2 linked regions of the Daphnia pulex genome follow. The main gene of each other region encodes a partner of the protein of the gene in region 2 in a complex. Links are inferred from orthologs where the notes say so. Each region holds a gene or a part of one and is shown on either strand. Other genes may lie near its edges. The genes, in order: actin-related protein 2/3 complex subunit 4 and actin-related protein 3.

Region 1 (3,345 bases), on a different chromosome or scaffold from region 2:
TTATGACCTATGAATGGCTCCAGGTTGCACTTGCACCAGAAAACTCCGACGGGAAATTAAGCCCAATTCGGACAATGTTTGCCGGTGGAATGGCAGGAATCGCCAACTGGATTATTGCCATCCCACCGGATGTACTGAAGAGTAGACTACAAACAGGTAATATTTTTTAATAGAATCAGATATTAGGCTATTAAATAAATGAGTTAAGTGAAAGGTAATATGATAACTTTATATCTTCGATTATTTTCCCACTTGAAGCTCCCGAAGGAACGTATCCTAATGGAGTGCGTGACGTCTTTAAAGTGTTGATGCGCGAAGAAGGTGTTCGAGCTCTCTATAGAGGAGCAGTTCCAGTGTTTCTTAGGTAATAGGGACATATTTAATTAAATAAGAATTTTTGATAACATTTTTTAACGTCCATTTTTCTTTAAAGAGCCTTCCCTGCAAATGCCGTTTGCTTCTTAGGATTTGAAATGGCTTTGAAGTTTTTGAACTGGTTAGCTCCTTCTATCTAATTGCGGAGCACTGATATTGTTCCAAGTAGATATTATCAAGAAATATGCACACTCCAGTTTGACTAAATACAATATAGTTTTCTGTAATATTTTCATTTATTATTTTTTGAGCTTGTGCATGAACTCAAACTAGGAGTTATCTGATTGTACACAAGTCGGATCATTTTACTGAATTAGCTTGGCTTGGAAACAGGTTTTTATGCAAATAAACTTGGGAATTATCTGGTCTCAATTTTCTTCCAGTTATCCAATAAATTCTCGAATTAAAACTATTAAAAAATGGGAAATGTTAGTCGGTAATAACTGATGAAAAAATTGACAGTAAAACACACCCGCTTTAAAAACTCCTCAGCGCACACACGGGCTCGTGCGTTGACGGCCAATTTCATTTCGCTAATTTCTTTGTCTATCTCTTCCATGAAGTGGATGACAAAATCCACTAATTTATGTTTGTACATGGCTTCAGTATGAAAATTAGTTATCAAGAAACTTATGTCATAACCCTAGAGAAATTATCAATGTATAACAACATATTTTAGAATATTTTAAAAAGAGTTTACCTTAACAACATATTTTAGAATATTTTAAAAAGAGTTTAACAACATATTTTAGAATATGTTAAAAAGAGTTTACCTCAACAGGCTTTCGTCTCAAAACAACAAAATTTTCTGCTCGCATCATCATGAACCTCATAAATTTGTGGCAAAGAATTTTTTCAATTTCATCAGCCTGTTTGATAGAAATGCTAATCCGAACAGAATTAATAGAGGCTTCTATCAAGACTTTTTCTTTCTCATTTCTTGAAATAACAACTGGATTCAGTAATAATTCCTTGCTTGTTCTATGTTTCAAAATAGTATTTATTAATGTTTACTCAATTTTTTCACTCATTTAACCTTACCTGACTTCCACTTCAGGTTTATTGTGTCTTTCAACAACTTGGGAAGAAAAGTTTTCCAAACACATTGCAGCTTCCAGTGTACTTCTAACTGCGGACAAGTAAGGCCTCAAAGTTGCTGACTAAAAATGACAAAATATTAATTATACGTGTACACATAAGACGATAGGAATGATAAAAGGAAGAGGGTGTGGTAAAGTGTTTGAAATGTGTTTTTGTCTGATGAGTTCAAAACATAATATTTTCAAAGTTCTTTTTGGATTAGCTGGGTTTGAATCACAACACAGAAGTTTAAGAGCAAACTAACCATTTTTTGCAATTTGCACAGCTGAAAAGCGTAGAATCTTAAGATAGTTCAAGAATATGTTCCACGGACACTATTTAGGCCCTACTCAATTTAGTGCTTTCTTTGGCTTTTTTCAGTGGGGTGGGCCGGATCTGTCAAAAACCGCAATTTTTTAAGATAACATGGGAACCGACGAAGAATGGAAACAGTTCAATCTGCTGCCAGTAGAGGGCCCGTATTAAATAAAGCAAAAAAATCAATCAATCAATTTCCTTTATTCAAGAAATTTACCGTGAGATCACAGATCACAAATCAAGCCGAATATAAACAAGTTTTAGTCCTTAGGGGTTTCGTAAATATCTTTGATCTAAGACTTGTTGTTAGTTTGTTATATATTACTTGTATAGGTAGAATTGAAGATAAGTCTATAACTAAACTTTTGTTTTGTGTGTTTTTTTAAGGGAGCGTTAGAAATGATATATGCAGATAGATATCCGCTACGTGCAGTCGATGCCGGTATATTTGTTTTATTTTGAGAAATAATAGGTTAACAAACATAGAATCAAAGTAACGATTGCACTAATTTGTTGACGATTGCACTAATTTGTTGCACTGATTTGTTGATGCAGCACATATCACCATATCAACTGTCCTTTTCCATTGGAGATGAAGAAGCCCGACAAATGAAAACCAACGTTTCTATTTGGTATTTATCAGCTGCCTCCAATAGAAGTAAATTAGGGGTAGAGTCGAGTATGCGGCCATTATAAATAAAGAACAAAATTTGTTCGAATATGCTTGGTGTAATGTCGCTGATGTCAACACACCCAGTATTCGCCTCGAGCATGTCGTGGGAAAACATTGCGGCAAAAACTGGGCTCCGGGCGGCCAAAATCCATCGATGGGCATGAAAGATACGCCCAGAGACGAGCAACTGAACATCGGTGGTCATGCCATCCAAAGCGGAACGCCAAAGCTGAGTTGGGCAAAGACTGTCCTGCAATTCGTATCGATATTCCTCATTATCCGCTTGTTCGATCGTCACACAGAACGTGAACTGGTAACATTTGTATCCATTTGCAACGGAGAAATTGCTTGTGAAGACCAGATTTTTATTAAGATCCATGTTGTGTTTCTTCTGTGAACAGGGATCCCATCTGTTGAAGTATGAGACACCAACCACTCGACTGTTTCGACCAGTAAAAAAGTATAGGTCGAACTCGCTACAATTTGTATATGGGATGATACGTACACACTGAATACCAACGCCGAACCACATACCGTCCTTTGATTTATTAGAGAAAGTTGTGCGATTCAAAGTTGGCAACTTTTTCAACGTCCATGAATATTGCATTACGACACCTCCTTTCGTTAATTGTGAGTTCACGTCAGCTTCACATCTAAAAATATATCAATTTATGGTTTATGAAATTTAAATGAATTAAATATAAGAATACTTCGTGACCATTTTTTCCATTGTTCCATTTGCGGTAAATTTAGGAAGCATTTCATCTACGAAGTATTTCTTTGCATACGTTTTCATATCTATGAGATAATAATCACAGTCATCTAGTAGACCAGTGTAGAGAAAATGAAGAAATCTTCGGAAAGTAACAGGATCTTCATCCAAAATAAGTTGTTCAACT
Region 2 (4,314 bases):
GCTCTCAACGACTTGATTGCATTTGCATCGAATTGATTTCTTCATTTGCAACAGCGAACGCTTCCACCCAACCACACACTTGGCCTCGACGACAAATAGACAAGGAATGACTGTCATCCAATTATTCGGTATATGCTGAATCACTTAATAAAATTAAGGATGATAATGAACCCAGTTGATTATTTCGGCAAATAGACACCACGACGGCGCAAAGAAAGAAAAACATCTTTCTTTTCTTTTTTAGTAGAGACGGAAAATGGTAGAAAAGCCAACAAACAACAGGCACTTGAACAAATCCGGTTCTACCAATCAACTCAAGTTGCTCACCCTAAATCACCCATGAACTTAAAATTGGAAAGTATGTAGAAAAAGGAAAAAAAAAAAGGAAAAGTAAGACCAGAAGGAAGAGGAAAACAAACAAGCACCATCATTTCTCTCGAGTAAAAGGGGGGGGGGGGAGACAAGTCAACTTGGGAGAGGGAGGAAACGGGGTAGGCATGGTGTCAGGAAAAACAGCGGACTGGATTCAAAAACAAATGCTAGTAGGAAAAAAAAATTGAGGGTCAAATGAGGAAGGATAAACGGAGAAAAATAAACGGAAAAGAACTTGTTCACTTTCCTCTCTGTGAAAATGATAATTACATTTGATACGGCCCTCCTTACACATTGTTGAATTATTACAGAGGAAACCTCGATCTGATCGATGCCTTATGGCGCTTCCTTTTTGCGCGCTGTACCTTGATTTTTGTTTTTGTTCTACAGGTAATTATGTCATAGTACCAAACACTGGATTGTGCCTACAAATGCTCGGCCCGTACTCCTCATACGCAGCTTTAGTGTGACACACTTGATAAAATTCAGGCTGCAAACCGGGGAGAGAAAGCCAAAAAAAAAAAAAAAAAGATAAGTCAGTTAATTTCCTTTCTTACGTAATTTATCGCTATCACATACCGTTGAAGCAAGTAGACTTCCACCGAACCATACCGCATAGCGTTGCATGTGGTGCGATACCACTTGAACGTCAATAGGTTTCGGCTGTAAACCAAGAACAAAAATATTCAATTACAACTATTACGCCAGTTCCTGGATGTGGGAACCGTCGCGTATCCCGTTCAGCCAACCCATTCGACCACAACTCTTAAATACAAGTGGAAACTCACCGTCAGTTTGCCTCCACTCAGCTGTTCACTGATTTTGAGCCGAGCGTCGCTAACACGCTTGATATCTCGTTGCAACCGCCGACCAAAATCCTTAAACATGGTCGATCCACCCGACAATACGATGTTCTTGTACAATGGCCTCCTCACATCAATAGGGCAGTTTTGAATGACTGTGTCAACAACTTCTGATATAGGGGTCGTGAAATCGGGGTTGGCAAACTGCAATATCAAAATGAATGAAAACATGATTCGGTCTACAATAGCCAATGCAAAATGCAGACGAAAATGAATAAAATCTACCTCTGGGTGAAAGAAAATCTCGGGTCCTAAGAAACGCTCATAGCCAACATCAACGCCAAACGGCTGCTTGGTGATGGAATTGAGGCCTTCGAATTTCTGCATCCATTTATTGGGCTCAGCATCGTACTTGGCAAATTCTTTTGCAATATCAGGACAAATGTAACAGTAGCGCTCTTTAACAGCCTTGGCTGTCTCGAGCGATTGCTCAGGTGGAATGCCAATTTCTCTTTCACGGAGAAGGGATTGAATGAAATAGGTTATGTTGCGACCTGCAATTGGGATGTGCTTTATGCAACTTCCAATAACATATCCTTCAGCCTACAAAAATCAAGACAACAATTAGAAAGCGCCCAAATGAAAAGCAAATTATTTATAATAATATCAGTTACCACTGGGATCACATGGGTAACACCATCACCACTATCAATCACAATACCAGTCAAGGTTCTTTCACCCAACTGCCTTGAGGTCCAAGAGGCAGCCAGAGCAAGGACTGCTTGAACAGCTATGTACAGACCGGGAACGTTGAAAGATTCAAACATGATCTCTGCTGTGTACTCCCTGTTTTCCGGGGTGTTTAAAGGGGGTTCTGTTAGCAAGAAATGGTGGTCTTCTGGTTCTGCTCGCAGATATTTGAATATGCTCTGTTCTAAGAACCGCTCCATAAGGTCCCAATCTTCAACAATCCCATGACGTACAGGATACTGCAATGGTAATTAAACCAAAATGAATGATCTGTTTTCAATAATAACTATTTCCACTTGAAAAATAGCTGAATTGACAAATCTCATAAGTAAGGTGTTTGTTACCAATCATGTAAACAAACTGTCATTTGCATTAAAACTTACTTAAAAATAAGATAATTTAAGTTATGAATGAAAAAAAGTCATACTTTGACTGAATATCCCCCATTTCCTGCTTCGAGGGCTTCGTCACCAATAAAGAAGTCAAGATCTTCGATTCCCTTTCCTAACCTTCTCGAAGCTTGGTCACCAACCTTTGCTGTTTCTTTAATGGCAATGGCTGAAGGTATAATGTATTGAGGCTCTTTATTGCCAGCATAACCAAGCTTGGAATAACTAAAAAAAAACAAAAATTTATTAGAAGTGTTAACAACCTTTCCAGAATAGGCACACTGAGATGAGATTGCAGTCTGTCAGACAGACCAGACCAAAGCATATCCTTACCCTGTTCCGATGTCAATCACACAAGCCGGTAATCTTCCGGTCATTTCACACAATTATTGTTTAAAACCTTTAACACTATTTCTCTGATTTAATCCTTATTGTGATTAGACACAGAAATTGTAAACGAAATTAGCTTAATTCGAAACACCGGCAGCGTCTAGAGCGATGAGTGTTCAATCCCCACCCCTGGCAGTTTCAGACTACGGCCACCAGGTGGCAACAGAACTTCCTCTGACAATCTGATAAGGATTTTTTTTCTTTTTTTTTAATGAGACAAACATGGTAAGGTTATCTTATTTATCATATGCGGAGATAAGGCCATAGTTCAGTTATTCCAATGGTTAATAAACGGTGGACGTTAAAGAAGTAAAACATCCCATAACGATTGGTAAAATTGAATTGCGCCAGATTTTGAAGACATCTAGCGTGATTTGAATGAATCTGATTGAACTTTTGTGAAATCAGAAGGCAACCATATGTGACGTAAAAAGAAGTTTTCGTCATAAAAAAAAGATATTTTAAGGAACAATAAAAAAAATTTATGGTCTTGATGAGAAACAGAAAAAAATTTATCCGGAAATCCGGACCCTATCCTCACGAGTCGAAGATACCAGATACCCCTGCTCTTTCATCTTTGGTCTAGCAATCAAGTTTGAATTTTCAATTTAAAAAAAAAAAGGGTTGTTTCCTTTTCATTTTCTTTCCTACCATCTTTTGCTTCCTGCCCTTGAAACCAATTAGATTTTATTGGATGGGGCTTTCGTGGCAACCAACGGTTCAGTAAACGAGTAACTGGGGATTCTGATTCGGTCTGCAAGTCAAACTCACCATTCTATACACGCGCAAAACTCGCCACAGGCTATTTAAACCGAGACGGTAAATCTACAGGGGAGCATTTCATTTCAGTACGGCCATTGTGTTTGTACAATGAACATTCTCATCTTTTCCTGCATGACACGGCATTCCAACTAAATTTGAGACAGTCATGTTCTATGAGAATATTGACACTAAAAAGAAAAACTTATATCGCTAATATTCTCATTTCTTTATCTTAAAGGAAAATGTTGACTCTGCGTCACACCGCATCCTAATGGCTTTTGAATTTTAGCCCTCACTTTCGTATCTATCGCTCTATCAGCATATTACTCACACACAGCAATTGCTTTTTTGGGGGGTGACATAATCTTGCAAACTGTTAAGTACGTTAAAATTACCAGCCAAAGTGACGACAAATTTCAGCAAGTTGGCATATTTAATCCCATAAGCTATACTGACATTTCCCGATTCTAATGAAGTTGTACAAGAATACTTGAAACTTTCCCTTTGTCCATTCGCCCTACACCGCATATATCTCTCTCAAGTAGTTTCTTTTTAAAAACTCCATGAAGCAAAAGCGGCGGAAGGAACCACACAGCAACGACGTGACGATTTTTCTTTTAAAAGTCAACTTTATACTCGACTGGGATCGAGTTTTAGTTCACTCAGCTTAGCTACACCAAAGAGAGCTAATAACGTTCTCTTCTGCCAACGACAGGAAATAGAAATCCTCATTCAGGGCCCGTCAATATCACGTAATAAATATCGCTGGGCAACGCGCTACAAAAATAGTAGCTTATAAGAACACGGGTATATTGAAAACGGTTTGCTTCCTGTAGGATCAAATGTAA

The links.
Region 1: actin-related protein 3 (region 2) and actin-related protein 2/3 complex subunit 4 share a complex: the UniProt entries of both Caenorhabditis elegans proteins name them as parts of the arp2/3 complex. The link is inferred for Daphnia pulex from reciprocal best matches to the Caenorhabditis elegans genes arx-1 and arx-6.

What each region holds. Positions count from the first base shown.
Region 1 is NC_060028.1:5,631,724-5,635,068, reverse strand, and holds actin-related protein 2/3 complex subunit 4, read right to left. Parts: upstream 1,896-3,345; 5' UTR 1,724-1,895; coding exon 1,721-1,723; intron 1,536-1,720; coding exon 1,417-1,535; intron 1,357-1,416; coding exon 1,149-1,356; intron 1,019-1,148; coding exon 848-1,018; intron 785-847; coding exon 779-784; 3' UTR 593-778; downstream 1-592. Other genes in the region: mitochondrial carnitine/acylcarnitine carrier protein-like, read left to right, coding at 1-156, 259-364, 434-515; uncharacterized protein LOC124209792, read right to left, coding at 2,343-3,099, 3,157-3,345. UniProt on the Caenorhabditis elegans protein: Functions as actin-binding component of the Arp2/3 complex which is involved in regulation of actin polymerization and together with an activating nucleation-promoting factor (NPF) mediates the formation of branched actin networks.
Region 2 is NC_060017.1:5,490,767-5,495,080, forward strand, and holds the start of actin-related protein 3, read right to left. Parts: upstream 2,855-4,314; 5' UTR 2,692-2,854; coding exon 2,648-2,691; intron 2,540-2,647; coding exon 2,353-2,539; intron 2,165-2,352; coding exon 1,850-2,164; intron 1,779-1,849; coding exon 1,461-1,778; intron 1,380-1,460; coding exon 1,161-1,379; intron 1,036-1,160; coding exon 952-1,035; intron 863-951; coding exon 767-862; 3' UTR 1-766. UniProt on the Caenorhabditis elegans protein: Functions as ATP-binding component of the Arp2/3 complex which is involved in regulation of actin polymerization and together with an activating nucleation-promoting factor (NPF) mediates the formation of branched actin networks.